Xenopus tropicalis: one gene and its partners. The protein of the gene in region 3 binds, or shares a complex with, the protein of the main gene of each other region. Links are inferred from orthologs where the notes say so. Each region holds a gene or a part of one and is shown on either strand. Other genes may lie near its edges.

What was found.
Region 1: the proteins of tnni2 (region 3) and tnnc2 are in contact, whole or in part, in a crystal structure (PDB 1A2X), measured with the Oryctolagus cuniculus proteins. The link is inferred for Xenopus tropicalis from reciprocal best matches to the Homo sapiens genes TNNI2 and TNNC2. Residues at the interface, in NP_001076252.1 of Oryctolagus cuniculus: Glu5, Asn8, Arg9, Ile11, Thr12, Arg14, Arg15, Gln16, His17, Leu18, Lys19, Ser20, Val21, Met22, Leu23, Ile25, Ala26, Glu29, Leu30, Glu33; in NP_001076114.1 of Oryctolagus cuniculus: Ser13, Glu15, Met16, Ala18, Glu19, Ala22, Lys91, Leu96, Glu98, Cys99, Arg101, Ile102, Phe103, Arg105, Ile119, Phe120, Ala122, Ser123, Glu125, His126, Val127, Glu131, Ser134, Leu135, Asp138, Phe152, Met155, Met156, Val159, Gln160.
Region 2: the proteins of tnni2 (region 3) and tnnc1 are in contact, whole or in part, in an NMR structure (PDB 2MKP), measured with the Homo sapiens proteins. The link is inferred for Xenopus tropicalis from reciprocal best matches to the Homo sapiens genes TNNI2 and TNNC1. Residues at the interface, in NP_001139301.1 of Homo sapiens: Arg116, Met117, Ser118, Ala119, Asp120, Ala121, Met122, Leu123, Ala125, Leu126, Leu127, Lys130, His131, Lys132; in NP_003271.1 of Homo sapiens: Asn18, Glu19, Phe20, Ala22, Ala23, Ile26, Val44, Met45, Met47, Leu48, Gln50, Pro52, Glu56, Phe77, Met80, Met81, Cys84, Met85, Lys86, Asp87.

The regions. Positions count from the first base shown.
Region 1 is NC_030686.2:19,702,558-19,713,338, reverse strand, and holds the start of tnnc2 (troponin C, skeletal muscle), read left to right. Parts: upstream 1-5,828; 5' UTR 5,829-5,894; coding exon 5,895-5,897; intron 5,898-10,781. UniProt on the Homo sapiens protein: Troponin is the central regulatory protein of striated muscle contraction. Tn consists of three components: Tn-I which is the inhibitor of actomyosin ATPase, Tn-T which contains the binding site for tropomyosin and Tn-C.
Region 2 is NC_030680.2:128,881,437-128,892,093, reverse strand, and holds the start of tnnc1 (troponin C, slow skeletal and cardiac muscles), read right to left. Parts: upstream 5,880-10,657; 5' UTR 5,859-5,879; coding exon 5,835-5,858; intron 1-5,834. UniProt on the Homo sapiens protein: Troponin is the central regulatory protein of striated muscle contraction. Tn consists of three components: Tn-I which is the inhibitor of actomyosin ATPase, Tn-T which contains the binding site for tropomyosin and Tn-C.
Region 3 is NC_030680.2:21,781,148-21,791,841, reverse strand, and holds the start of tnni2 (troponin I, fast skeletal muscle), read right to left. Parts: upstream 6,780-10,694; 5' UTR 6,733-6,779; intron 4,652-6,732; exon of another isoform or gene 4,558-4,651; intron 4,446-4,557; 5' UTR 4,426-4,445; coding exon 4,415-4,425; intron 3,289-4,414; coding exon 3,285-3,288; intron 1,005-3,284; coding exon 963-1,004; intron 636-962; coding exon 507-635; intron 373-506; coding exon 283-372; intron 1-282. UniProt on the Homo sapiens protein: Troponin I is the inhibitory subunit of troponin, the thin filament regulatory complex which confers calcium-sensitivity to striated muscle actomyosin ATPase activity.

The DNA of each region.
Region 1 (10,781 bases), on a different chromosome or scaffold from region 3:
CACCAACCTTGTATGGAGGGGAAGGCTTTCTCCGACAATCAGCGAAGGTCTTGTGTACCAAGGAACTTTTCTCCAAATTAGACTTGGTGGCAGCCCAGATAACAGACATGTGAGCCGCCAGGTCATCTGCAGCGGGAACTTCGGAGAGGAGAAAATCTTGAGGGAAGGCCAAAGGATGTTGACCATACACCGACAAGAAAGGAGATCTTCCAGTGGAGGAGTGACTGGCATTGTTGTGAGCGAATTCCGCCCACGGGAGTAAATCCGACCAGTCGTCTTGGCAAAGGGAAACATGGTTTCGCAGGAATTGTTCAAGAGCTTGGTTTACACGCTCTGCTGCCCCATTGGTCTGAGGGTGATAGGCCGAGGAGAACTGAAGAGATACTCCCAGAGACTTCCACAAGGAGCGCCAAAATCTGGACACAAACTGAGACCCCCTATCGGAGACAATTTCCACAGGGAAACCATGCAAACGAAAGATATGCTGTACGAAGAGTTGAGCCAGTTCTACAGCCGAGGGGAGTTTCCTCAAGGGTACGAAGTGTGCCATCTTGCTGAAGCGGTCTATCACTACCCAAATGACAGTGTTACCACAGGAGGGCGGTAACTCCACAATAAAGTCCATACCCAAATGCGTCCATGGGCGAGAGGGTATTGGCAATGGATGCAGAAGACCGCAGGGTCGAGAGTGGCTGGCTTTAGTGGTGGCACATACAGTACAAGCTGCGACAAAGTCTCGGACATCCTTGCGGATGGTCGGCCACCAAACTAGGCGTCGAAGAAGTTCAAGAGTTTTTTCAGAACCAGGGTGGCCAGCTTGTTTGGAGCTATGAGTCTGCTGGAGAATGGGAAGGCGTAATTCAGGAGGTACAAATGCCATCCCTATGGGAGTATCTGGAGGAGCGGCAGACTGGCTTAGCAATATTTGTTCAGCGAATTGGGGCAATACAGAGGCAATGATCCTGGATGGAGGAATGATAGGCTCTTGCTCTATAGGTAGACGATCTTCTGGGGAGAAACTTCGAGACAGGGCGTCTGCCTTTCGATTCTTGGTCCCAGGACGATACATCAGGACAAAATTGAAAAAGGAAAAAGAAAAAGAAAAGCGACCACCTCGCCTGACAGGGATTCCGTCTCTTTAGAGACTGTAGAAATTCTAGGTTCTTATGATCGGTATAGATCGTGACCGGATGAGATGCTCCCTCTAAGAGGTGTCACCATTCCTCGAGGGCGAGTTTGACAGCCAGGAGTTCACGATTCCCAATGTCGTAATTCTGCTCGGCGGAGGAAAACTTCTTGGAGAAGTATGCACATGGATGGAGCTTACCATCTGCAGAATGTCTCTGGGAAAGAATAGCACCTGCTCCTACATCAGAGGCGTTGACTTCAATAAAGAAGGGTAGATGAGGCTCTGGGTGTCGAAGAACAGAGGCCGAAATGAAGGCATCCTTCAGGGACTGGAAGGCTTCAAGGGCCACAGGAGGCCAACAATTGGGTCTCCCTCCTTTGCGGATGAGGGAAAGGATAGGAGCAATGCGGGAAGAAAAGCCTTTAATGAATTGGCGGTAATAGTTCGCAAATCCTATAAACCTCTGGATTGCTTTAGTATTCTGGGGGAGTGGCCACTTCTGGATAGCAGATACCTTGGCAGGATCCATTTCGAAGCCCCTAGACGAGATAATGTAGCCCAGGAAGGAGATCTTTAGTACTTCGAAAGTGCATTTCTCCAACTTGGCGAAAAGAGAGGTCCAGGAGGTCCCGAAAAATATCGTTTACGAACTCTTGGAAGACGGCTGGAGCGTTGCAGAGGCCAAAGGGCATCACGAGGTACTCGTAATGCCCATCACGGGTATTGAAAGCCGTCTTCCACTCATCGCCCTCTCGGATCCTGATGAGATTATAGGCCCCACGGAGATCCAACTTAGAGAAAATCTTGGCCCCTTTTAGTTGGTCAAAAAGTTCTGAAATAAGGGGTAAAGGGTATCTGTTCTTAACAGTTATTTTATTGAGACCCCGGTAGTCAATACAGGGGCGGAGTCCACCGTCCTTCTTTTCGACAAAAAAGAAGCCAGCTCCTGCTGGGGAGGTAGAAGGACGGATAAATCCACGCTGGAGATTCTCAGAGATATACTCCTTCATAGCAGCCGTCTCTGCAGGGGATAAGGGATAGGTCCGCCCACGGGGTGGCATGGTTCCAGGAAGGAGATCAATAGGGCAGTCATACCGCCGATGCGGGGGAAGAAACTCTGCTGACTTTTTACAAAACACATCAGAGAAGTCCCTGTAGACGGAGGGCAGAGTTGAAAGACTCGTAGAGGAGACTGTAACCCGCTGGAGTGGCTGAGGAATTAAACAATGTCTTTGGCAGTACTGACTCCAATGGGAGATTTGACCCGATGACCAGTCAATGGAGGGGTTATGGAGTCGTAGCCATGGCAACCCCAGCACAACAGGAGACGAAGGACATGGAATGATCAGGAATGACATCTTTTCCAGATGTTGTGCTCCAATCTGGACAGATAGTTCACCGGTGGTTAAAGTGATGGTGTCCGTGGAGAGAGGTCTGTCATCGATGGCGAAGACCCGAATAGGAGGAGTCACTGGAAAGAGGGAAATGCCAACCTTTTTTGCGAATGCCAAGTCCATAAAGTTTCCTGCAGCTCTGGAATCAAGGAAGGCTGAGACTGGAATTGCCTGGGAGGGCAATCGGATCTGCACAGGAACATGAAATTGGTGAGATTGTTCCGCTGACTTAGGAACAATACTACCAGCAAAAGAAACAACAGTCTTACTTGAAGCAGGAGTATTCCCCAGCTTGACAGGGCAGGAAACCGCTAAGTGGGATTGTCCGCCGCAGTACAGACATAGGCCGGAAAGGCGTCTCCGAAGCTTCTCTTGTGCAGATAGTTGAGCCTTCCCAAGTTGCATGGGTTCCTCCGAAGGGGAAGTGGTAAACTGCGGAGAAGACGGGGGTATCATAGGGTTCTGGAAGCGCGGAGCCAGGACTGGATGAGACTTTTTACTCCGCTCTTTATCAGCCTGATGTTCTTTAAGGCGAGTGTCTACCTTAATAGCGAGAGCAATCAAATCTTCAAGGGAGTCAGGTAGATCTCTGGATACCAGGTCATCCTTCAGACGGGACGATAGGCCTTGGTAGAAGACTGCCTTATAAGCCTCTTCATTCCAGGAAGTTTCCGCCATGAGGGTTCTAAAGTCTATGGCATACTCACTGGCACCGAGACTGCCCTGGCGGATTTGCAGCAGGCGTGAAGAGGCAGTAGCGACCCGACCAGGGGCATCAAAGATGGTTCTGAACATCTGTAGAAATTCCTTCACATCAAATGTCAGGGGTGACTGACTCTCCCAGAGAGAAGTTGCCCATTCCAGTGGTTTGCCCTCCAGACGAGACATAACGTAGCCCACCTTCGCTCGCTCACAGGAGAATTGGGAAGGTTGGAACTCAAACTGAATCTGGCATTGAGTCACGAATCCCCTGCAGGCCTGCGGATTGCCACTGTAGCGCGGAGGAGGAGGTATTCGTGGCTCACGAGCTGGCGACATCGCTGGCAGAGGAACCACCACAGCAGGAGGAATTTCCGCGACAGCGGGAGTAGCGGGCAAACGGGACAAAATGGAATCAAGTACTTGCCCAATTCTGACTTGCTGGGATTCATACGCCTCCATACGGGACGCCAGCCCGCGAAGGGCTCTTCCGACGTCCGGTACCGCTTCCTCGGGATCCATGGCCCGAGTATAATGTCAGCGGGGGCCTCCGGCACCCACGGGAGGGGTGAAGTCAGGATCAAGGAGGAAGGCCGCTTCCAGTGAGTCCGAGCGAAGTACAGATGCAGGATAATCCAATAGAGAGGTCAGGTTCAGGCAAAGGTCACTTAAGGCAGGCAGCAAGGTTCAAGGTCAGGAACAGGCAATTAAACAGCAACAGGAAAGCAGATGAGAATATTAGAGACCCAGGAACACAATAGGTATGTTGAGCTATACTCGGGCATTGAACCTGGGTCTCTGGCGTCCTTTGCGCCATAGCGCGTGACGTCATCGCGCCGGCGTCCTTGCGCCCACGTGGAGCCCTGGGCGCCGCCATCTTGGATTTGCCGCGCCGGGAGGGAGGACGCCGCCGCACGCCAGGTAGGGAGCGTCGCCGATTCATGACAGGCTTATTTTGAATTCCAGTCCAGGTCTGTGCTGGAGCCCCAAGGGGTGCAAAACTATGTACCATAGGACCCATCCAGGCCATATGGATTTAGTATGGATAGAGTTTCCTTCTGCCTTGCATCCCACTGGCACTCCCTAGTTTGCATGTCTGAAAGATGTAGCACACAACATGACCTTATGGATACAGTGCTGCCAAAAACAGGCAGTGGTGTATTCATAGGTATGCAGGTCCAGGTCCAGACTGAGATTCAAAATCGGCCCTGGCATTTCAAGGGCAGAGAGGCCCAAACAACCCCCACCAGCCCAAAAAATAGTGGGCTGGTGGTGTCTATGGCATCTTACTGCAGCCCCTCTGGCATTTGCCCGAATGCACAGGGCTTGCAGGCGTGATACAAGATGCAAAAGCTTTGCATATTTTGCATTATGTATTTATTGGTAGGGTTGCCACCTTTTAAAAATAAAAATTAAAGCTGGGGTGGGACAGCAACTAAAGGGGGGTGGTATAGAGTGGATGTAAGTGGAGACATTAGGTGGCGATTATGTTAGTATAGGCCAGGTACACACTTTTGGATTTTATGTTGATGATGCCCAGTCTGCAGCTCTCCAACTCTTGTTCCAAAATTCCCAGAAGCCTCTAAGTGCTGTAGATTATACACAATCGTTCCTGGGTGTCAGGTTCTCTGGTGGACTCTAGGAGGCCTACTCTAGCACTGATTAGATGAACATACAGAAAAAAAGATAAAGTTATTATAAAATGTGGGGTCAAGCAAATTCTAATTATGTCACAGCAAGTCCTGCTGAATGGTTTAGCTTTCTGGCACTGAACAGAATCTGCTTTTTTCGTTATCCAAAAAGCAGCCATTGTGTGTTCTGCATAAAGTAGAACTGTTTAACCTGCAGCACTTTAGTGTGTATTGAACTATAGCTCCCAGCCACTGGCTGCTGAAAATTGTACTTCAACAACAGCTGAAGGGCCACTGGCTGGGCCACACATGTGTTACTGATGCAACTTAAAACTGCTGGTCAGCTGGTCCCTACAGTATGACTCAGTTCAGTCACTCCTATTTGCACCCACTGAAAGGCAGCTCTATGCCTGTCCTGCAGTTCTTCCTGCCTCTGCCAAAGCCGTTTGTATGGAGCTTGCCTGCCAGTGCAATTGCCAATGGATTGCCCTGCTTCTTGTGCCACTGCTGGTCACGTTTGCAGCTGCTTCTCCTTCTAATCTGGTTCCTTGTGAAGGGAGGGTGGGTGGGCTGGGGGGATCATTTGATACTATTCTTCTCTGGCTCTTGCAGCCCTTGTCATAAATCCGGGGGATGGAAGTCTCTCGTGGGGAGGGAATGGATGGGTGGGGGGGTGTTTAGTGCTGGAAATTCCCTTTAACTATTTACAGTAAGAGGAGAACCATGTGTTCACACTCATCAGTGTCCCCTCCCTCTTTACCTGGTCTTTTATTTTTGTGTTGACTGCCCCCCCAGCACAAGCTAAATTTGGTAAAAGGCTTCTCCCTCCAATCAGGGGTAAGCTGGCATGGGATTGGGAGTGGGGGTGTTTTAAGTTAGTGGCATCCAATCAGGGCAGAAGGGGGAGCAGGTGTGTGAATGGGCACAGTACAAATTAGAGGGGGACTGTTTGTAGAAAAGCTTTGGGGGTCTGTACAGAAGAGGAAACAGATACCTCCTGCCATCCTTCTCCTCTGCAGGCATTTGGGGTGACCTGCCAAGATGGTAAGTGTCCCTGAGGTTGGGGGGGTGCGAACTGAAAGGCTGTATCCATCTGCATCCTACAAAATGACAAAAAAGGAGACAAGAGGTGCAATTGTGCCAAGTCTTTGGAGTTAAAGGGGGCAGTGGGGTCTTCTGTCATAAGAGATGGCAACTCTACCCAGAACTGCCGAACAAATCTCTAACATTGTGGCTACTCAGATATGAATGACATGCTGCCTCTGTCACCATTCCTTCTCTGATCATCCATCACCAGGGACATCAAGGAAGGAATGCTTTGTCACCAAGACCCGAGCCAGAGAGTGGCAAATGTCACAGCTTTATAGTGAGGTTCAAAAAGAAACTTTCATCACCTCTAGCTTGCCTGGACTGAACTAAACTTTACTGTGCCCTACAGATACAGTTCCTCTGCTACAATAGCACTTAATAAGAGGTGTTTTGTGCTACTACAAGTAATCCTATTGTGTTTATGATGAAAGAGTTTTAACCTTGTGTTAGATTTATTGAATTATTTGCTTTTATCTTGTAACTAATATTAAAGGGTAACTATAATATGGTAACAGTCAGGGTAGATTTTAGCTTTGCAGTTGCTATTAGATGGTTAATATACCTGATACCAGATTCTCAGGGCTTTCCCACGGACATAATATCAGTTTGGCTTTGTCGAACCTTATTTAGAACAAGAACTGGGTTTTAAAGAGCTGGCTCTAAAACTGGCAGGCTTTGTATTTCTGGCTTGGATAATGTCAGGATTTTAGGATTGGCTTTTATATTGCTGGACATCTATCCGCTACAGGCCCCAGCTACCACCCCCACAGATCATAAGAATATGCTAAGGCATTGGTTGGGTTTTATGCTTTCTCTGTCACTGGTTATTTTAAGACCAATAAAAGAGTTAACTCTTTCTCTGCTAGTGCCAGTGCACTGTGTGTATGGTTGCTAGGGGAACGTTCATAGTAGGGGCAGTAAAATGCACAGAATGCACAGAAACAAAGAATGCTTTAGCTTGTAAAGGAATTTTCTTAATTAATATTGTGCTAAGATCCATTTACAGACTGGCACAGTTCTGTTATTAGCTATGACACCCCATTGGCACAGGAAAGTATGAATTCTGGGCTACAATTATGCTTAATGCTGTGTATATGGTCTATAAAAACAGGAGGAATTTTCATGCCGGGTTGGGATATATATCTCTGGGGTGCCATATATGCTAAATGTGTGCTTGGCAGGAAGATCTGGTTTGCTTTTATATTTGTATGTTGGAAAATGTGCATTCTGTTTTTTTGCTGTGAAGAATGGGATTGGTGTAGGGGATGCCTCAAAAACATTAAATAGGAAAACTACAAAGTTTAAAACAAAAGTGTCCTGGCTGTGTTCCTCCATTTTTAATGATCTATAACTCCAAAAAATCACATTTGCGATTACTGGCTTGCATCGAATGTGGGTGGGGGGGAGTAAGAACTGGAGGGGTGCAGAAACAAAGTGAAGAAGGTAATAGCTGTAATATAAAGGTAAAAGAAAGTGCATAATGATATTGTATTTTGCAAAAAAGTGGGGTGTCTCTATAGTGGTTTGTAAAAGTTGCACCTTTTTTGGAGACTGAAAATAAATCCACATTTAGGTCTATATACTCTGACAGCTCCATATAGGTCCATATACTCTGAACAGGTTGTATATGTTGCATATTATATTAATGGCTACATATGCTCTTAAAGGAACAGTAACACCAAAAAATGAAAGTGTTTTAAAGTAATTGAAATATAATGTATTGTTGCCCTGCACTGGTAAAACTGGGGTGTTTGCTTCAGGAACACTACTATAGTTTATATTAATAAGCTGCTGTGTAGCCATGGGGGCAGCCATTCAAGCTGGAAAAAAGGAGAAAAGGCACAGGTTACATAGCAGATAACAGATAAGATATGACACCATTGTATTCTACAGGGTTTATCTGTTATCAGCTATATAATCTGTGCCTTTTCTTCTTTTGAATGGCTGCCCCCATGGCTACACACCAGGGTTTATATAAACTCTAGTAATGTTTCTGAAGCAAACACAAAACTTTTACCAGTGCAGGGCAGCAGTACATTATAGTTTAATTTCTTTGAAATATATAAATTTTTTGATGTTACTGTTCCTTAAAAGGATCCATATGGAGAGGAAAGAAAAAGTTCAGTTTAAAGGTAATGGATCAAACTTTCCAGGTGGTTCTAGATGAAAGGGTTCTAAGGAAAGAGATTCTCAAGGTTCGGTGTCAAGCTATTGGTTCCGTGTGAAGGTCCGGCAAGGTTTCATCTTTCCCACAAATATGTTCACACTTTCCAAGGAGCTTGGCTTCAGTTTACATCACCCTACTTCTCTCCCCCCCCATGCATAACTTGGTATCCAGCCAGACTTCTTACTTGCAAATTCTCCCACTACAAAGACCAGGGCAAAAACAGATTCTACCCTAGAGATCATTGCCTAGTAACATTGTCTTCTATTGGTTATGATTGTTCTTTAAAATCATCATATCTTCTATGGTGATCTTTTTGCAGTTGTTTACAACCAGCACCTTCTTTTTGCTTATCATAAAACAACAGCAGAAGGATGCTTTATGGCAAAATTTTCTAGAACCCCACTGTCCTATACCCAATGTGTTTTTTGGTCTCTTTTATGCCTCATAAATTTATATGGCATTTATGGACATTCCATTACTTACACAGGGGATATATACTCTCTGTGGTTGATGGGTCCAACAACAGCATTTTGACCTCCCTGCCTAACCTTCTCCTCTGGGTAGCTAGTCAATTCATTAGCTCCATATCTATAAAATGTTACACTTTCCCCTTTTCTCCATAGCTTCAAAAATAGAACTTTGCCTTGGCATTCTTCCACAGGGAAAGACTCATGTAAATTCCACAGACAGATTCCAAACTCTGATTTTAGTTAAGCCATCTTCTCAGGATGTTTTACTTAACAGACACTAACAATTTAAGCTAAACATTATTAAATAAATACCTACAAATACTGGCACAGTAGCAGTTTGGTTGATGTTTTGGCAACACAGATACACAATTACTCCAACCACAAAATAAATTCAGACCATGGGCCACAGACAGAAGCCACACACAGGCAAATATTAATACCATTAGAAAGAAAAAAACACAACTGTATTATAGATGTGTGTGAATAGTAGTATATCTATGTTTGCATTTTGCACTTTTATACCTGCTATGGGCTTATTCACAAACATCCACAGTCCAATACGCTCAAAATTTCTTCACCTTGAGTCAGTTTTTATCACTGTGATCCCAGCCATACAGCTGCCGGGACAAGTACCCTGGGCTTCACACATGGAGGAACAATAGGAAAACTCAACACACTAAAGGTGCCCATACACGTGAAGATCACTTACGGGTGGGTGATATCGGGGAACATGTAGGCAACAATGGCGGCAATGGGGCAATCTTTTAACCTGCCCCATCGGTCGGGCATTCCCCTCGTTCCTGCCCCTACACGGGCCAATAAGCTGCTGAATTGGTCCAAGGGACCGATATCAGCAGCTACAATCGGTCCGTGTGTGGCCACCTTAAATATACACCTACAGACACTATATTTGTATAGTAATGTGATGACCTGGGAAGGAACAGTGGGAATGATGCCAATAGCAGGTGGAGATGATAACCTCCAGCTATGGCTTTAACAGATTTAATAGGGAGATGTGTTTCTTATTATAATAACAATGGTGTAACTAAATGCCCATTTGAAACCCTCCTACTCCCCCCTCTCATGCTTACATCTAGCACCAGTGCAGAAAGGGCACCTGAGTTATGCCACTGGCAGTGAGGATAATAGCCTCTGGGGAATAGAAGGTATAGTAGGGAGAGACGGAGCCTATAGAACAAGTGGGGATAATAGCCTCTAGGAAGGGACTGTGGCGTCGCAGGTATAGTAGGGAGAGATGGCGCCTATAGAAGGAGTAAGATAATAGCCTCTGGGTAGGTACTGTGGATGTGGGATAGCAGGTATAGTAGGGAGAGATGGTGCCTATAGTAGCAGTGGAATAAAAACCACTGGGAAGGTACTGTGGCTGTGGGATAGCAGGTATAGTAGGGAGAGATGGTGCCTATAGTAACAGTGGGAAAATAGCCTCTGGGAAGGGACTGTGACTGTGGGATATCAGGAAAAGTTGGGAGAGATGGTGCCTATAGTAGCAGTGGGATAATAGCCTCTGGGAAGGGACTGTGGCTGTGGGATAGCAGGTATAGTAGGGAGAGATGGTGCCTATAGTAACAGTGGGAAAATAGCCTCTGGGAAGGGACTGTGGCTGTTGGATAGCAGGTATAGTAGGGAGAGTTGGTGCCTATAGTAGTAGTGGGGATAATAGCCTCTGGGAAGGGACTGTGGCTGTGGGATAGCAGGTATAGTAGGTAGAGATGGTGCCTATAGTAGTAGTGGGGATAATAGCCTCTGGGAAGGCACTGTGGCTGTGGGATAGCAGGTATAGTAGGTAGAGATGGTGCCTATAGTAACAGTGGGGATAATAGACTCTGGGAAGGCACTGTGGCTGTGGGATAGCAGGTATAGTAGGTAGAGATGGTGCCTATAGTAGCAGTGGGGGGATAATAGCCTCTGGGAAGGCACTGTGGCTGTGGGATAGCAGGTATAGTAGGGAGAGATGGTGAAGGGACTGTGGCTGTAAAGATGGGTGAGATGGCAACACTAACATTTTACATTATCACAGTAAAACCTAGCACCATTTTATTGATGCTGAACAAAAACTCACAGCACCCACTGACAGCTAAAGGAATTTTAGGGCTGCTGAGAGTTACATGTCAGCAGCTGATGAAGGACAATATATAGGTGAAGAAATTGGCACATTCTTAAAAAAAAAAAAATATTTTGTAC
Region 2 (10,657 bases), about 110 Mb from region 3:
TTTTTCACAGAAAATAAGCATTAGCCCAGGCCAAGAGCTAAGCAGTGTCGGACTGGCCCACAGGGATACCAGGAAAACTCCTGGTGGGCCCAGGTGTCTGTGGGCCCTCCTGCTTCTAACCATTTGGCCTAATTCATGGTCATTTTCTATTTCTCTATGGGAACAAATCGACTAAAAATATAAAAAACTATAGAGGTTGAGTGAGAAGGGGATGAAAAATAGTTTGAAGAGTGGGTCCACGGTCTAAGGTTTTCTGGTGGGCCCCTAGCATCCCAGTCCGACACTGGAGCTAAGCAATTAGTCACTGGGGGTTGCCAAACAAATTGTCACCCCACAGTGACTGTAGTTTCCTTGTCCTTTAATTTGAAATGCAATTTGTACTTTAGATTTGTACTATATAAATGTGACAAAGCTGAGGTAAACGATGTGGCAGCTGCCAGTCATAGAGCCAAAGGCCTACTCCAGCCCCACCATAAGAGGCTGCTAGGTTATAGCCACACCCTCAATTGTTTCTACATGGAAAAATTAACTATTTTGTTATAAAACCAAACTTGAGAGCCAGGAAAGCCATGAGCAAAGGAATATCACTACTGCTCAGCCAACCAGTGCTATTTCCTAGCTTGTGAAACACAAACAAATCCTGTCTGTAAGCGAGAAAAACAAAACAGCTGCTCTTTTATTGTTTTGGCCGGGCAGCGGCATAGCTATGGGCTTGGTGGGCACTGTATGGGGCTGGGAGACATTTGCCTGGTGCTGCTTTTGTATGCTTGGAGTAACCCAATCCATGTCCCTTGCAGGCTATTTATAAAGTGAAGATACAGGCGCAGGGAGAGAAAGATAAAGTATCCAATTGTTCCCATTTACACAGTGACAGTGGCATTTAACCTTAGGCCCTTTTATCTCCGCTGCACGCTTATCTCTGCCTCCATTATTGGTATTGTCATTCAAGTCTGAACCGAACACCAAATTTAGCTGAGCTCATGCATTGCCTTATGTAGGCATGAAGGTGTGGAGTTATTTGTACAAGAGGGGCTTATTACATTGCTCGGAAACTCAGTGCACAAAAAAGTGCCATGCATCACCCTCTTAGATCTCAAACCTGTGGCTTTGCAGCTGTTGCTGATCTACAATAGTCATTATTATTATTCTTCAGGGGATGCTGGGAGTTGTAGTAGAACAACAGCAGTAGAATCATAGCATAAAGGCCACTGCCCAGTTTTGGACGGTTCTTATGGGTTGGGCACATTATAGCATTAACAGAGAGCGGAACTTTGAAACATAAACTGAATTTTACACAGTATTTTTATACTAGTCTTAAGGGATAACCTTTTAGCTATACTTTAGCTACAACTCCCAGCATCATTTGTTGTTATTTGGTGCTAGAAAGCATATTAATACATCTGTCCCATTCTTGCAGGCAATAAGGTTAATGTCACATATAAATATAACAGACTATATAAGGGGAAGTCGTTTGCACAAGTTTAGGGTAACTTGCTGAATGGGGTGCCTAGCTGGCTGGAACTGCTGTTGCCTAGGAAACTAGAGCTGTCAGTTTCTGCCTCACCAGCTCAGGGTCTGTAAGGCAGAGAGTTATTGGAAAGTCCCTAATGCTTTGTGTAGTTTATCCTTCATTCTACCAGCCAAAATTAAAAAAGGGATTATAGATCTTCCCCATCACTGGCTAGCCTGTACTTGCAATGCCTTTTAAAAACTCAACCATGAATTTTACAAAATAAATTTGTCTACATTAATGTCCTTTTAAGGCTCTTCCGAATTAGAAGAATTCGGGACATGGCGGGCGCAGCCTGAACAATGGCTCTTTTTTTAGCCTACCCTTTTTGTAGCCTGAGTCGTTTTCATTTTTGGAATTGCACAGGACCCAAATAACTTCTGGGATTTGCCTCCTGTGTGCCGGGCAGTTTGTCAGGACAAATGGCTGACGTCTTTGGGCCAGAACAGCTGTTTGTGGATAATACAAGTGGCTTTGCATGGCTATTGTTCAGCATGTCTTGTATTAATAGCAGGAGGATTTGTCTGCTCTCTGGCTTGACAAGTAATTATCTGCACATAGGAAGGGGCCACTCTGTTAGTGCTGCCCCAGTTTTCTTTTCCGCTGATTATCTGCTCATTAAAGGACAAAGAAAGGTTAATACACTAGTGACAATGTGTCACCCCCATTGTACTAAATTTTTAACTTTTTTCCCATGTGTGGGGATCTTAAGGTGACCATACATTGTAAGATCCGATTGTTTGGCGAGATCACCAAGCAAGCGGATCTTTTCCCGATATGCCCACCTATGGGTAATTCGGCCAGGCCAAACAATCTTATTGTCATCGGTTCGGAGACCACATCAACAATCTGACCGCATCAAAAATCAAACCTACCCAATCAAGATCTGCCTGATTTCAGGCCAGGTGTCAGTCGGGAGGCCCGTCGTTCGTGCCCATACACAGGCAGATAAAATGCCAAAACGATCTAAAGGACCGATAGTGGCAGCTAAAATTGGCCTATGTATGGCCATCTTTACTCACTAAGCATCTTTTCTGGAAAATAATTAATTTTTACTAAAGTGCGGACATGAAAGCCTAAAAAAACCGCAAGGGAGCCTTGGGAAATACCACAAAGATAGATATGTGGGGGCTCAGAAAGTAAGATCCCTGGTGCAATTTTTATTAAACAGAAGCACTGGTCCTTAGTGATTTAAAGGAACAGTAACACCAAAAAATGAAAGGGCTTTCAAGTAATAAAAATATAATGCACTGTTGCCCTGCACTGGTAAAACTGGTGTGTTTGCTACAGTAACACTACTATAATTTATATAATAAGCTGCTGTGTAGCCACGGGGGCAGCCATTCAAGCTGGAAAAAAGGAGAAAAGGCACAGGTTACATAGCAGATAACAGATAAGTTCTGTAGAATACAATAGTGTTTTATTTGTTATCTGCTATGTGCCTGTGCCTTTTCTCCTTTGAATGGCTGCCTCCATGGCTACATAGCAGCTTATTTATATAAATTATAGTAGACTTTCTGAAGTAAACACACAACTTTTACCAGTGCAGGGCAGCAGCACATTATATTTTAGTTACTTTTATACACTTTCATTTTTTGGTGTTACTGTTCCTTTAACACACTAGATGGTACCTAACATATTGGTACAGCCCAATATATTAACCTTTCTTTATCATTTAAGCCTGATATTTGCTAGCTAATCAGGTAAACACTAGCCAGGCGGCAACCATAGGCTATTTCAGACTATGGTTATCTGTTAAGCCACTGGCTTTTTGATCTTTGGGGGGAGTTCAAGCCCCCACTTTGATATCCAACATTTGGTAACGACTCTCTTTAGCCTATAACAATTTGCTGACACATGAAAGCATTTTTGTATTTGTTATAGTTAGTAAGACACCCCAAACCTTACTCTGACTGGCATCTAGGATACCAGCTCATTGGTCTGGGTCAGAACCTTGCCTTAGGTGGCAGGAAGCAGCCAGTTACTAGTGGTGGCAAAAAGCCACCTCTGGTAACTTTAAAAACAGAATTTTCATGTTTTAAAATGAAAATTCAGCTCTGCCAGTGCAGAGAGTGTAATAGCACTGCATACCAATGCAGCCCCACTAGACCCACTCTGCTGCTAGAATTGTAAGCATGGAATGAGAGAGAGGGGCGGCATTGGCCTCAGCTGGCAGCAGCCCCAAGATCATATATATAGTGGGCAGGTTAGAAAATTCAAGGCAATTTAGGGCAAATTAGTGCATTGGTGCAGCCAATCAGATCAGCCCAATTTGGCCTGGCATGTAAGTGACCAAATCAGACAGACAGATATGCTCATTTGGTGACCATGCCAGAAAGTACGTTAATAAGTGTACAGTCAGCTTAAGCCCAAATAGATATTTTCAATAAATCTTACCCTTGAAAAGACGGACAGAAAGACAGAGATATATGGATGCTCTGGTAGATGGAGGGGCAGTATTTAAACAAACAAATGAATATACAGATAGACAGGCAAAATGCCCATTATCCCTGTAGAGTTTGTATAGCCCCACCATAAAGTCAGTGTGTATGTGTGGGTCAGGGGGGCGTTGGAGTGCTGTGCATGCAGCTGGTATATGCAGGACAAGGAGAAGTGAAGGACAGTGAGTGTGAGTGCAATGTGGCTCATTCTCTGTAATATAATTACTGCAAAGTACCTGTACTTCCATCTAAATCTCCTGATATCTCCAATAGTAGGACACTGTACACTCCCCTTCAAACTCAACATTGCATTAGGGGCATTACATGGTACCAACTCTGCAAGAGGGTTCTATACATGATGAAACATGCTGTATATTATTTCATACTGGCCCATTGTAGACTATGCCTGGCTATGATTTTTCACACTCCTGTTCAGGTCTGGAATGGGATACAAAATAGGCACTGGCATTTCAAGTACACAGAAGCCCAAACAGCCCCCACCAGCCCAATAAATAGTGACTGTCTATGGCACCTTACAGCAGCCCCTCTGGCATTTCCCAGAATCTACAGATTGCCAGTCTGAGCCTGCCCCTGGTAATGAGCTCTAGGGATGCACTGAATCGAGGATTCGGTCCGGGATTCCACCAAAATTTGGAGTTTTTCAGCACAATTCAGATTTGGCCAAATCCATTTGCCAAATTCAAATCCTTAATATCATGTGACTTTTCATCACATAAAGATGAAGTTTTTAGGCACACTCTGTGAGCACGGTTCTCTTTGTCCCATCCCTAGCCTCATTTGACTATGGAAATTAGGATTTGGTTCGGGATTCGGCTGAAAATTTCATGAAGGATTCAGGGTTTAGCCAAGTCCCAAAATAGTAGATTCAGTGCATCCCTATTAATGACATTTGGTATTTCAATATCCTCCGACCATTAATATGCAGAATGCAGCTATATGGGAAAATGATGCTGCTACAGTTTCATTGGCCCCCTGTGCGTTTAGGCCAGTACCAGTACCCTGCGGGATGTTGTATAGGTCCTTACTGAGCCCTACAGACCTGCACAAATCCCTAGATGATGCTATGTTACATATGCTATATTATTCATTATCTAGCACACAATTAAACCTGTCATAAATCTCTATTCATCTGATTAAAATAAGGCATTTACAGTTTCTATTTCAGAGATGTCTTCCCTGTGTTACTGCAGATAATGTGTAAGTTTATACAGAAAATGATTTACCCCTAATTGTAAACTATCAGGATATTAAAAGACACCTAGGAGATCCATGACCATACAGATTATACAGGTCATGAAGTTCTGGGGGACATTATTATAACATACATGTTTCAGCCAGTCATGTGACACAAGTATCATCATTAAGCACTGTTTAAGAGAATACATTTTAAATGTTCATAGTTATACTGTACATTTCCATTTTACATGAATATATGCAGCAACTGACAATATTTCCCATAGACAGCAGTCAAACAGCAGCAGAATCTGATTTGGGATCTGAATCCCATTTGTAAATGAACATCCCCAGTAATGCAGCTGAAGGAGCTCTACAAAGTATAATAACAAGGTGATAGAATCCTTTAAAGTTATTGTGCTTTGACCATATGAGCAGTCATAATTCATTGTTAAAGGTAATTCCTGTAACAATATGGTCAGTGCACAGTGTACTTAGTATATTAATATTTACAGGAATCTCACCCTTCCTAAAACCAAGGGAACTGAACAAGTTGTATACAAATGCCGATCTATATTGCAACCCCTGCATCAGCACCAACCCAGAAGGAGCCCCAGGAGACGGGCTGATGAGCGAGCTTTCAGCTGTAAGGAGTAGGTTAAAGAGAATGCAGAAAGTTGAGCACATACCGCTGCTTTGTAAATATCATCCATTGTGAGTGATGCTGGTCAGGAGCCCAGGAGCCAATTGTGCAACACTGGTGACAGCTGATGGCTCAGTTTATATACCCCCCCCCCCCCCCCCCCCCGGCACTGTTTGCTCCTCCTGAGCCACACGTCAGCCTTCCCCTATCAATGGACACTTTCCAGGACATCCCCTTGGGAAGACAAAAGAGCCCACCTCATGGTTTCAAGTGCATTTATTTATATACCCAGCAGGAGCTGTGTGGCCAAAGATTTCCTTTTTCAGAGATGGAGGCCACAGGTTGGTACTAACATATTCAATAAGGGAAATATCATCACTTCAAAACCATTTTATTCTTTTGTACTGTATGCTGTCCATTTATTTCTATATTCTGAAATAACTGTCAGATACATAGGAGCTGTCCGACCTGCACCCTCCCTGCTGCTTTTCACAAAACAGAGAGCAAAAACCCTTTTCTATAGGATATTTTTCCTTTATTTCATATATATAACATTTCATGCTGTTCCTGGTACCAGCTGTCTGTGCTGCATCCTCACCCCCCGTCTTGGCTAAAAGATAAATTCACTGCACGACTGAAAAGAGTTCTTTAAAGAGTTCTAAATGTGTCAAAACAAACAAAATGCTGGAATTCATTCTCAGAGTTTAGAGGGAATGCCATATGTTTTCGCCTACAGAAACACTGCTACTACTGACAGGTGCTAAAGCAAGTGTCTCTGAGCCGAGGCTACTGGTCACCGCCAGCATGTTTCCCATAGCTTGCTAAAGGGAGCAGTGACAAGATTTTGTGTGTTGTGACTGACACTGTCCTATACTATAGGCTTAAAGTTCTAGGGAAGAAAAACAAAAACTAAAGTAAAATGAATATATTAAATTGTGTGAAAACTATAGGATAATACTATAGGCACCACCTCTCCCTACTATACCTGCTATCCCACAGCCCCAGTCCCTTCCCAGAGACTATTATCCCCACTGCTACTATAGGCACCATCTCTCCCTACTATACCTGCTATCCCACAGCCCCAGTCCCTTCCCAGAGGCTATTATCCCCACTGCTGCTATAGGCACCATCTCTTCCTACTATACCTGCTATCCCACAGCCCCAGTCCCTTCCCAGAGGCTATTATCCCCACTGCTGCTATAGGCACCATCTCTTCCTACTATACCTGCTATCCCACAGCCACAGTCCCTTCCCAGAGGCTATTATCCCCCACTGCTACTATAGGCACCATCTCTCCCTACTATACCTGCTATCCCACAGCCACAGTCCCTTCCCAGAGGCTATTATCCCACTGCTACTATAGGCACCATCTCTCCCTACTATACCTGTTATCCCACAGCCACATTCCCTTCCCAGAGGCTATTATCCCACTGCTACTATAGGCACCATCTCTCCCTACTATACCTGCTATCCCACAGCCACAGTCCCTTCCCAGAGGCTATTATCCCCCCACTGCTACTATAGGCACCATCTCTCCCTACTATACCTGCTATCCCACAGCCCCAGTCCCTTCCCAGAGGCTATTATCCCCCCACTGCTACTATAGGCACCATCTCTCCCTACTATACCTGCTATCCCACGGCCCCAGTCCCTTCCCAGAGGCTATTATCCCCCCCACTGCTACTATAGGCACCATCTCTCCCTACTATACCTGCTATCCCACAGCCACAGTACCTTCCCAGAGGCTATTATCCCCCCCACTGCTACTATAGGCACCATCTCTCCCTACTATACCTGCTATCCCACAGCCACAGTACCTTCCCAGAGGCTATTATCCCCCCCACTGCTACTATAGGCACCATCTCTCCCTACTATACCTGCTATCCCACGGCCCCAGTCCCTTCCCAGAGGCTATTATCCCCCCACTGCTACTATAGGCACCATCTCTCCCTACTATACCTGCTATCCCACAGCCACAGTACCTTCCCAGAGGCTATTATCCCCCCCACTGCTACTATAGGCACCATCTCTCCCTACTATACCTGCTATCCCACAGCCACAGTACCTTCCCAGAGGCTATTATCCCCCCCACTGCTACTATAGGCACCATCTCTCCCTACTATACCTGCTATCCCACAGCCACAGTCCCTTCCCAGAGGCTATTATCCCACTGCTACTATAGGCACCATCTCTCCCTACTATACCTGCTATCCCACAGCTACAGTCCCTTCCCAGAGGCTATTATCCCCCCCACTGCTACTATAGGCACCATCTCTCCCTACTATACCTGCTATCCCACAGCCACAGTCCCTTCCCAGAGGCTATTATCCCACTGCTATTAGATTGCCTGCACAGTCAAGAGGAACATTTGCAGCCCATTACTTTTTAATAACTTTTTAAAAATACAACTATTTGTGGGGGCATGTTTATGTTGCCCTAGGCTAATTCACACTCAGGTAGAATGTTTGTTATTAGGCTATTATCCCACTGCTACTATAGGCACCATCTCTCCCTACTATACCTGCTATCCCACAGCTACAGTCCCTTCCCAGAGGCTATTATCCCCCCACTGCTACTATAGGCACCATCTCTCCCTACTATACCTGCTATCCCACAGCCACAGTCCCTTCCCAGAGGCTATTATCCCCCCACTGCTACTATAGGCACAATCTCTCCCTACTATACCTGCTATCCCACAGCCACAGTCCCTTCCCAGAGGCTATTATCCCCCCACTGCTACTATAGGCACCATCTCTCCCTACTATACCTGCTATCCCACAGCCACAGTCCCTTCCCAGAGGCTATTATCCCACTGCTACTATAGGCACCATCTCTCCCTACTATACCTGCTATCCCACAGCCACAGTCCCTTCCCAGAGGCTATTATCCCACTGCTATTAGATTGCCTGCACAGTCAAGAGGAACATTTGCAGCCCATTACTTTTTAATAACTTTTTAAAAATACAACTATTTGTGGGGGCATGTTTATGTTGCCCTAGGCTAATTCACACTCAGGTAGAATGTTTGTTATTTAGTAATGCATAAATGCCAAGGTCACAGAGGGCATAAGCCAGTCATTGAATAGCCCCAGGTATGGCTTTTCCCAGACAGGTTATAGTAAGTACCAAAGTCAAGCCACGGTCAAGGTAGGCAGAAGAATATCAGAGCAGGAATGGGTCAGTAGTCATAAGCTGGTGCAGGTTGGGGTAGTATGAGAGTAGTGCACAGGTGGATATTGGAAATGTAGGAATCAGAACAGCAGTTAAACTGAGTCCGGAACATAAAATAACCATGGGCATTAAAGAGCAGAAAACTATGAGCTACAAAAGGCAGGCACAATGTACTTGCTTGGACTTGATCTTTATATTGTCTGTGCTAAAAGAACCAAAAGCCATTAATTGTATCCAAGCATTCTACAGAGAGGCCTGACATAAGGCCGGAACATTTAGTGTCTCCATAAATATTAATATCTGTGTAGTTATATGCTGTTCAGGCAAGTCTTGCACTACATTGACTTGCCAGACACATTTATTTACATCTTATCTCTATTACTTATGAATCCATATTGCTCCTGGCAAAACAAAAGCCAAGTTCATCAAAGATCCATAACCAGCAGACAATGCATTTACTCATTAACTTAGCCCCCAATTCTAATGTTTGTAATATAATGCATGGTATCTGTATTGAATTGTACTGTACAGTCCTTATATAGAGCTGCACTGCACAAAACTACCCAGGCAGGCCTCAGCTAAGGCAACATATACATTGAGGCTGAACACAGCGGAGCCAATTGCAAACACACTGCAATAAAAACCGAGACAGCAACTTCAAAGAAAACTGTTTTTTCTATCCATGAGAGAGATATAAAACCTATTACATTCATTGCTGGTGTTACCGGCCCTTTCATTTACAAGAAAAGCTCAGTTTGGAGTTCAGGGATCAGACCTGGACTGGGATACAAAAGAAAATCTCATTCAGTCTCCCTATTTATCAGAATGTAAGAGTAAGGGGTGAAGAGTAGGAACACTATTACATCTCTACAGAGTTTAAGGCACTATTTACAAAGGGTCCCATGGTCATTTCTTTACCGACGCCTTCTTGAACAGCAAGGCATGAGGAGGGCCAAAATCTATATTGGGATCAATGTCAACTGAAAGGTTAAGTGAGATGACAATACGGCTCAGCATGCCAGCCCTGGGCGGCTTTGTCAGGGGGATAAGTTAGCACGCCACCTGCTCCCACCAAACAGATGAGCCTCTGAGCAGGTCAAATGCTCTCCCTGTCACTGTGCAAGCAGATACACTTTGTAGTATACTGGTACATATAACTAAAGGAATAACTTGCAATTGGTCTTCATTTTAATTATTTAGCATTTTGAGCAGCAGCTTTCCAGTTGCTAGGGTCCAATTTTACCTAACAACCAGGCAGTGGTTTACACAGAGACTGGAAGATGAAGAGATGAGGGCCTGGGTAGAAAGATAAGTACAGGTATGGGATCTGTTTTTCTGGAAAGCTCTGAATCAGTCTATTGGCTATCTCCAATAGACTGCATGTTAATCAGATAATTTCAATTTTTTGAAAATGATTACCTTCTTCTCTGTAATAATAAAACAGTACCGGTACTTGATCCCAACTAAGATATAATTACCCCTTATTGGGGCAGAACAGCCCTATTGGGTTTATTTAATGGTTAAATTATTCCCTTTTCTCTGTAATAATAAAACAGTACCTGTACTTGATCCCAACTAAGATATAATTACCCCTTATTGGGGGCAGAACAGCCCTATTGGGTTTATTTAATGGTTAAATGATTCCCTTTTCTCTGTAATAATAAAACAGTACCTGTACTTGATCCCAACTAAGATATAA
Region 3 (10,694 bases):
GGAGGGGCCTATGTAAACTGAATGGAACACTTATAGATAGTCCTAAATGGTATAGGTTTTTATATAGGCCCATGGTGGGGAAAAAGATAGGCAGACGGAAATTCTCCTAGACTGGGCTGCACTATGGCCTAGGCCCACTGGAAAATACTCATGTACTCTGGTAGGCTACTCTGATCCTGTCCATTGTTATGAATAACCATTAATGTCTAATGGGGAAACTACAGGAAGACTTGAGGATTAAGGACCTGCAAATCTATCCTTCATTATATGAAAGCTACTAACCTCCTTGGTGCTCTTTCCAACTTTGACTTCCATGTCATACCTCTCCTCATCAACCACATCGATTTTGGCGTGCATCTTCTTGCAGAAATCCTAGGTAGACAATGCAATAGAGAATAAAGTGACTGCAGTACATTTCACCAAGATATTCTATTGCAGGTTGTACTGTAAGTTAGTAGGCTGGATTTACTAAAGATCCTGCCACAGTCTATATTCATGGAACGTACCTGGAGTTCTGATAAGTTGCTGGGAAGGCTTAGAGGTGGGCAGTGCTCTTGTAGGTAGGCTTCCTTCTCTGCCGCAATTTCAGCTTCTTCTTTCTCAAGAGCAGTTTTGGCCACCTGGAGCATCAAGCTCTGCACATACAAGAGAAGAGGAGTAAGAACAATGTGATGTGGGAAGAACCTAAAAAGCAGCGTTGGGAGGATAGCTGGTGTGCATTTATGGTTGTGGTAGAGTTCTTGGGACTAAGGAACAGTAAAAAAAGTTCTACATCAATAGCCACTAAGAATCACGGGGGTCTTCATAAGTTCACTATGTTGAGAATTGTACAGGCATGGTGTATGAGAGCCATGTTAGGAACATTTCTCTTCACTCTGTGCCTATATAATTTATGGAGGCCCATACAGGACTTTGTTTTGAGGCATAAGGGCCTGACTGTTTTGTTTTTATGGATAACTTACCTTCAGGTGGGTTTTGCGAGTATTGGAGATCTTGGATTTCTTCTGCAGAAACATAAATGAAAAAATTATTAGCATTTTTTTTGTTAGAAAAGTGTAATCCCCAATTTCATAAAGAAATCTTTGACTCTCAAACATCCAATCAATCTATCATTCTCTTTTTCCAGAAATCAACAGCTATATTTTATTATGAAATGTCACTTTTCATTACAAAAAACTATTATTATTCCAATTAGCCCATTTCCACATGACCTGTTTTTACACATTTTGCCTAATCATTTTTATTACTGGCATACAGGCAACAACCTCTGGCTGGGGGATAGCAGGTATACTAGGAAAAGATGATGCCTATAATAGCAGTGGGGATAATAGCCTCTGGGAAGGGACTGTGCCTGTGGGATAGCAGGTATAGTAGGGAGAGATGGTGCCTATAGTAGCAGTGGGGATAATAGCCTCTGGGAAGGGACTGTGCCTGTGGGATAGCAGGTATAGTAGGGAGAGATGGTGCCTATAATAGCAGTGGGGATAATAGCCTCTGGGAAGGGACTGTGGCTGTGGGATAGCAGGTATAGTAGGGAGAGATGGTGCCTATAGTAGCAGTGGGGGGATAATAGCCTCTGGGAAGGGACTGGGGCTGTGGGATAGCAGGTATAGTAGGGAGAGATGGTGCCTATAGTAGCAGTGGGGATAATAGCCTCTGGGAAGGGACTGTGCCTGTGGGATAGCAGGTATAGTAGGGAGAGATGGTGCCTATAGTAGCAGTGGGGATAATAGCCTCTGGGAAGGGACTGTGCCTGTGGGATAGCAGGTATAGTAGGGAGAGATGGTGCCTATAATAGCAGTGGGGATAATAGCCTCTGGGAAGGGACTGTGGCTGTGGGATAGCAGGTATAGTAGGGAGAGATGGTGCCTATAGTAGCAGTGGGGATAATAGCCTCTGGGAAGGGACTGTGCCTGTGGGATAGCAGGTATAGTAGGGAGAGATGGTGCCTATAGTAGCAGTGGGGATAATAGCCTCTGGGAAGGGACTGTGCCTGTGGGATAGCAGGTATAGTAGGGAGAGATGGTGCCTATAATAGCAGTGGGGATAATAGCCTCTGGGAAGGGACTGTGCCTGTGGGATAGCAGGTATAGTAGGGAGAGATGGTGCCTATAGTAGCAGTGGGGATAATAGCCTCTGGGAAGGGACTGGGGCTGTGGGATAGCAGGTATAGTAGGGAGAGATGGTGCCTATAGTAGCAGTGGGGGGATAATAGCCTCTGGGAAGGGACTGGGGCTGTGGGATAGCAGGTATTGTAGGGAGAGATGGTGCCTATAGTAGCAGTGGGGGATAATAGCCTCTGGGAAGGGACTGGGGCTGTGGGATAGCAGGTATAGTAGGGAGAGATGGTGCCTATAGTAGCAGTGGGGGGATAATAGCCTCTGGGAAGGGACTGGGGCTGTGGGATAGCAGGTATAGTAGGGAGAGATGGTGCCTATAGTAGCAGTGGGGGGATAATAGCCTCTGGGAAGGGACTGGGGCTGTGGGATAGCAGGTATAGTAGGGAGAGATGGTGCCTATAGTAGCAGTGGGATAATAGCCTCTGGGAAGGGACTATGGTTGTGGGATGATAGCCTGGTATGGGACAATGCCTTTCTGATTTCAGGCAGAGTAAGAAGAAATTATTCTCATAGTAGTAATGGGACTAATAACCTGTAAGACGGATCTGTGTTTAAAATAGAAAGGGCAGCAGGGACAAAAATGAAGACAGTCAGGACAAGGAAGTTGAAAGCAAAAGTGCTCCATATTAATGTTCACGGTTGGTGGAACAAGATGCTAGTGTTCCTGGCCTAAGGAAATTTCAGCTGTTTCTTATTTTAACCATATCTCTATTGAATATTATATAGTACTCACTACATATATCTATCTGCCTGCAGTGTCGGACTGAGATGGCAGGGACCCACCAGAAAACCCTGGACCATGGGCCAACTTTCAAAACTTTAATTCCAACTCTCCTCCCTCAAACACTTTATTATCCTAGTCTCTTTTCTCTACATACTATACTCTATTCTTCCATCTATCAAGCTTCCTTGTTCCCACACAGAAACAGTGAATCACCATGAAATTGGCTAAATAGATAGAAGCAAAAGGGGCCCACTGACACCTGGGCCCACCGGGAGTTTTCCTGGTATCCTGGTAGGCCAGTCCGACACTGTCTGCCTGTATGCCTGTATGTATCTATCTATCTGTAAGTCTGGGTCATGGTAAAGTCTGTTTAGCTCAGTAAAGGCTGCCCCTACATTGTCACAACATGCGCCATAATGAAAGGAAAAAGAGTAACTTACGTCACTAATCAGAGGGGAAAAGAGAAGGGAAATAAAAAAGAAGAGGTTAGAAATGAAAGACAGACACAGCACTGCCTATAACTTATAGAGCCAATACAATAAGAACATATAATGGTACATACTCTCAGTGTATAGGGGACACAGTTTGACCTACACTGTATAAGGGTACCATATCTTTCCTTGAATAGACAACAATGTATAAGTATTTATGTTATGTTAAAGCCCTGGACATGTTTGTTTACCCATAATGCTCTTTTGTTGGTTGAGCTCAGATCTAAATATTCTAATTAGGGATCTAATTTGGTCCACAATATAGTAAAAACTGAAAGAGCTGTAGTGATCTGTAGCAACATATCAGATGTTTCCTTTCATTATTCCATCTGCATTAAACCAATTCCATCTGCTAACTGCCGATTGGTTGCTATAGGTTACTAGACCTGGAGCAAAATAGACTTGCTGCTACATTTCCTCCATAATATAATAATGTTCTGAGCAGCCAATAAGCTTGGCCTAATACCTTACAATCTGTTTAAAGGAGAATGGACTTATGCCTACTGTATCTAAATACCATAGACAGAGAGCTGAATTTAGATTCATATAACATTAATTATAAGTGATAGCCATATATGCGCGATATTCAACGTTACCGAGATAGATGGAGGGATAGATTAATATCAGATTAACAGATAGTAGGTTAATAGAGACAGATATATGCCTGATAGATAGAAGACAGACAGATAGATAGATAGATAGATAGATAGATAGATAGACAGATAGATAGATAGATAGATAGATAGAAGATAGACAGATAGATAGATAGATAGATAGATAGATAGATTAGATAGATAGGTGATAGATAGATAGATTGATAGATTATAGACAGATAGATAGATAGATGATAGATAGATAGATAGATAGATAGATAGATAGATAGATAGATAGATAGATAGATAGATAGATTAGATAGATAGATAGATAGATAGATAGATAGATAGATAGATAGATAGATTATAGACAGATAGATAGATAGATAGACAGATAGATTAGAAAGAATAAGACAGATACTAGTCAGATATAATATAGAGACAGACAGAGAGAACATGGTTTGACCCAAAGAGGTTTTTACTCACTCTTCACCCATCTTGGCGGTTTCTGTGATACCTGAGCACAAAACACAAAGACACAAAATTCAGCACATGAAGTCCTGCCCCCCAAGATATAACTCTTTGGCAAAGAATCCCTGTAAGGAACACGCTGAGCCCCGCTCACATACCAGCCTAGGCACAGACTGATGGAAGGATTAGTCTGAAATTCCCCAATGAACTCAGCTCCTTGGATGTCCCTTCCTCTGCCACCGCTGGCCGGCCTCTAAATAGAACCTTGGCAGGGGGAGCAGAGATGGGACACCCCGCCACCCTATTTGAAGTCATCTGATCCCCTTTGGAGATATCAGCAACTTTGCAAGACTTTCCGAAAATATCCCACGGAGCCTTTAAGGCATGACAGCTGTCTCACCCTTTCTCTATGGATCCCTCCTTGCCAGGCCCTTCTAATGAATGAGGTCACAGGTGAAGAAACCTTAGCCATGTGTTCATTCCCTTTCCTCGCATTCATGCGCTGACTCTCAGGGGGTCCCATTTCAGATGCTAAAATAAAAGCCACTCAATGCCCTATAATGCTGAGTAATATTTGCCCCAGATTTACAGCCTGTAGGCTGCGGAATATTATAATAATGCTTGAAACCAAGGTTCTCAATCAGTGGTGGCGGACGCAGGTCATATTTCCAAATATCTCCTTCTTTCAGCACAGGCAACTTGGGCACAAATCCTCCGGAATTAGGAAAATCTCCCAAATCTAGCCTTTCACCGAACCATGGGCTGGGAAGCAATGCCAATTGGGGCAATGAGGGAAAGAGTAGTGGTAAGTCTTTGGGCACAGGCATACATGGTAGAACAATAGGGCTCAGCAGGCCCATAGTTGGGGTTAAAAGAGAGATATATATAATATATATACAGGTATAGGACCCGTTATCCAGAATGCTTGGGACCAAGGGTATTTCTGATAAGGGGTCTTTCCGTAATTTGGATCTCCATACCTTAACTCTACTAAAAAATCAATAAAACAGTAATTAAACCCAATAGGATTGTTTTGCCTCCAATAAGGGGTAATTATATCTTAGTTGGGATCAATTACAAGGTACTGTTTTATTATTACAGAGAAGAAAGAAATCAGTTTTAAAATTCTGAATTATTTGATTAAAATGGAGTCTATGGGAGATGGGCTTTCCATAATTCGGAGCATTCTGGATAACGGGTTTCCGGATAAGGGATCCCATGCCTGTATATATATATATATTTATATAAATATATATAAAAAATATATTGGCAGCTAGTCTGTTGTACCCTACCCTTACTTATTCTACATATATGGTTCCATCTAATACATTTGTATCTATAGGTTCTATCAGGAATATATATATATGTTTCATGCTACAAAAGGGGGTCCTGTAATGAATTAAACATCAGTTCCAAATGGGTGGGTATGGGTTCCATGCACAAAATGGGTCATTGTAAGTGTCTACTACACAACATAACACTTAAAAACAATAACTAAGCAACATTCTATAATGGTACCGAGCATGGAGCAGCCTTGTTGCTCTGTACAGAGACTATGGGGCATGATAATCAAATGCTGAATAGAAATCTATACAAGTGAAGTGTGTTTAAGAGAAAGGGAATCGGTGGAGAATGGTCTGTTAACTCTTTAATTAACAGCCATCCCCTCCCTTCAGGTTAAACTGTAAATGCCGGGAATTCTAAGCAGTTAATACAAATACACAGATAATTTGTTACTTTAAATGTACATTCATACACTCATTAAACTCTGGCAGGGATCTATTACATATAATTGTTATTAATGACTATAAAATAATGATTTTTCCCCAACATACTATATCTATATATGTGGAACCGAGGCTGCTGAAAGCACGTAGATAAAATTGTGTGCTTGCCAATATTTGCGCAATACATGAAGTTCACTGGCATCGTTAATATATACAAATTCAATTAAAATTCTCACGATAGGGTCGTGGTGTTAAATCCCCCCTCCCCGGTTGGGTTTTGCTATTGTGAATGGAGGTTGTAATGTAAGTAAATGTTAAATATTAACTCTTGTTTTACAGGGAATTCTGTAGCTTGTTGTTTTAAAGCACAGAGAATGTATGACTGAATAGGTTATAATAAATGTAGGTAATTTATTTATAGTGGGCTGAACAGTGTAATGAATGAGCTAGGGGGATAGGGGGCTTGTGTATAGGCAGAGATCTCGGCTGCAAGTTGCCCAGGCAGGACCCTAATTAATCTCATGCACATACTGTACTGACAGACAGAAATCCATTTATTGTATATACACATGCCTCTGCCTTTGCCCCCCAGGGGCTGTTCCTTACCTGACCCTCGTAGACTGAGCCCTCTCTATGAAGCAGGGGTGGGACTGGCAGCGCTGTGTTGTGAGGGGGGTATTAATGTGCTGGGGGGGTGCCCAGGGGTAAAAGCTGCCTGGCTCAGTAAGGGCATGCAAACAACCTCCGACCAATCACGAGGCGGGTGACACAAATACTTTGACCCTCCCTTGCAGCCCATCTTAAGACTTAACCCTGTATCTGCTGGTGGTCAGCATTGTGAACAGTGGGGCATTCCTTAAATAACATTGGCCCCCAAATGCCTACTGTCATGGCACTGGGAGCATGGTATGGGCAGTGCGCTTAACCTTCTGGGAGGGTCTAGAGATACAAATCTAAAGTAGGAGGCATCTCAGCCACTAAAGGGTTAATGTGCTGTTCTCTGCAGATCCCATTACTTTCCCAAAGCAGATACTTCCCTCTTACTTATCCCCCCCAACCAAAACAGCTAGTACCCTTTTCAATCTCAGCTATGCAACTTATCCCTAGCAGCTTTCTCTTCTAAAAAGGTCCCACCCAATGCACCCTCACACCTGTCTCTCCGCTCCTCCCGCCCCACAGCAGGCTATCTCAGCATTCTCTTCTAATTGTTTGGGGTTTATTCGTCTCTAGCAGACACACAGATAGTCCTCTGGCCTGTAATCCTGCTGGGGGCTAAGGAATTCGCTCACCCAGGGCATTCCTGTATTACTGCCCACATACAGAAAAGCAGCAGGGTGGTGCTGACCTCTACTGGACATGATGCAAAATAGCATTTCATGGGCACCAAGCTGGCACTTTGGACCACACCGGCTCCTCTAGAGCAGGGGTCCCCAACCACCGGTACGGGGACCGGTGCCGGGCCGTGGGCTGTGCTGAAATGGGCCACCACTGCTCCATATTACTTGTGATCCCAACTCCCTGATGCTTTACACAGCCATGACAATAGCTATTCGAAGCCCAGGAAGATTTCTACTGATTACGACAAGGACCAAAGTACTTTATTAAGCTGTATGTAATAATAATATTAATAGTAAAGTGCATAATATAAAATTTAACTAGCACTAGTTGCGCCGCACCCCCCATCCCCGGTCCTTGGACAAATTGTCTTGCTTGAAACCGGTCCGTGGTGCAAAAAAAGTTGGGAACCACTGCTCTAGAGCACACATTCTGGCCCTGTCAGCCTCCCAAAAAGGCATATTAGTCAGTGCTAAGGCACTTGGCGTATTATCTGGGCTTTTTGTCTTGCAATGGCCCCTCCATAGATGCACACTGCCACCCATACCCAGCCACTCCCTTGTTCCCCGCCACTCGCTCTCAGGGAGGTGGGATTCTCTGCCATTACAGAAGAACACCCTGCATTCCAGGTCCCCAGGGCCACCCACAACCCCCCTCAGCAGGGTCTGCCTTTTCTATAGTTATTCTACTAGTAATATCCCTGCCAGTGCCCGGCAATGCAATAATCACCTATGGGTGTGCCATAGCCCTAAGGCAGAACAAGACAAGGCGCTAAGGAACCCATAAAAAGGCCCAAAGTGGTGCTATTGTAAAACATTTATTCTGCTGCATGAAAACAGCTGGACAGAACTGATCTACATGGGTATTGCTTTAACTCTTTCCATGTCGGGCCATTCTCGTAATGCTTTTTTCACAGTCACAACTGAACCTGGAAATGTCGATTCTACGTTGCTGGCAGGTGGTTAACCTCCTTGGCGGGGAAAGCCTGGGCATAGAAGAGGTAAGGGTTGCCCTTCATATAAACCACAGTCATTTTCCTCTTTATATTTAGCTAATAAAGCATAGGAAATTAAATTGCGATTTGTAGGTTTTTTATGGCTTTACCAATCTAGTGATCAAGGCTCTACATTGAGTCAGGACCCTGTAGGATTGCCACCCAGCTAGTATTTCACCGGCCAAGCTGGCAAAATAGTAACCAAGGCCAGGGCCAGGATTACATATTTACTAGCAATGTACTTGCTGTAAATTTGTAATATCTAGTCCTCTGGCCCTGCACCGCCCCCTACCTGCCTCCAAATCCCTCTCCCAGCCCATCCCTCTACCCCACACTACTCACTAATTCCCTAGCTGTGGCCTGGGTTGGCAGAACTCCACCCCCATAGTGTCCTGACCACGCCCCCAATGTCATCAGCCCGCCCTCTCGTACACACCACCCCCCTGCTTAAAGTAATAAGGGGTCATTTATGACCACTAGTGCAAAGTTTAATTTCTATCACAATTGCTGTGTTTTTTTTCCCACAATGCAGCGTTTTCCCACCTTAATTGCATTGTCATTGGGGACACCAGGGGGAGTTGTGCCTGGGGTAGTTGTGTTAATATAAGTAGAACTGTGCTCACACCTCAAAGTAAGTTGGATACAATGATACTGAAAGTTAAATGTGATTGGTTAACTTATATGCAGTGACTGGGGGGACGTGGGGAGAAAGTAGAGGTCTAATTGAATAAAAAATGATTGAATGTTTGTTTATGTATAAAAAAAATCTGTATATAAAAAACTTTATCAAATCAAAATCCGTAAAAAACTCAAACTCCTCAAATTTCTGAGCTCGAAAAACTCAAAATGGCTTGAAAACTCACATCTTTTAGATGCCGCGTTTCACGCTGAGTTTTCTGCACTTAAGAAATATCCAACATACAAGTTCTTTAACCATAATTCCAATATTGGGAACGTTGCTAAATGACCCCCTATATGCCCCACTAAATCAGCTGGTGCAACGGGTTTTTGCGAATAAGACGTATGTCCTGTTAATCAGGTATGGAATAGCGGTTCGGTTGAATAAATACAGGACAAAGCTTGTGCCCTTCAATTTAGATGTAAAATGATAAACACAAAAGGGTGGGAAACCATTATACACATATGCAGCCAAACCTGTTTCCAGGGAACGGCTCAGTAAAGTGCCCCTACATTATCCCTAAATCGGCCTCTTCTGGCGCCCCCTAGCTCTCGAAAATTGGCATGCCAACCGTAGTTACAGATACTAAAGGATCCACCTCAGCAGGTGCTTAGACTACAGCTCCCATGATGCTTTAGCCCTTGATTTAATATACCCAATTGGACAGAAAATTGGACAGATGTCAGTCAGACATGTTTGATTTTCCCGTCGCTCTGGCTGCTCCTATCTCCGTCTTTCTAGGGACAAATGATTAAATTAGCCCAATATCAACCACCTAAGAGTCCCCATACATGGAGGCTAATTCGATCGATTGGACCTGGGGCCAAACGATCGAATTATATTGGCGGCAATGGGGCAGTCGGTTCAGGGACCGCATCAACGAGCCGATGCGGTCCTCGATCCGACTGAATCTTTTAACCTGGCCGATCAATATCTGGCCAATTTCAGGCCAGATATCGGTCGGGCAGGCCCCTTGTTTCTGCCCCTACACAGGCCGATTAGCTGCCGAATCGATCTAAGGGACCAATATCGGCAGCTACAATCGGCCCGTGTATGGGGACCTTTACGTGGGCACATCAGGGAAAGATCTGTATAATCGTATAATGTATGGCCACCTTAACGCTTGGTTGCTGGCCAAGTATGTACACACAGCAAAACATACATATATTGAGAGATACAAACATTTATATTTATTTATCTAACATTATACAGAATGAAAGGAAAATCAAACATACAGAACATTTACAATCACAGATTTATTATAATTTAAATAACCCGCGGCTGCGCTGAGGCTGGGGCATCTCCACCCACACATTGGCTCTTCCTTGTTCATTACATGAGCTGCTACTTGGTACGTTACATACAGGGCAAGAGAATAAAGGGGACATAAACCCTCTGCCTCTATTCCTTCCCCCAATTAAAAAAAGTTGCAAGAGATCCTTTTCAATAAGAAGTAATTTGTTGTATTTAATCTGAGCTATTTAATCTTCCTGGGGCCTCCTCGCCCTATATAACTGTTAATATTATACTGTACGTTTGTCATTTTGATTGCAAGAAGTG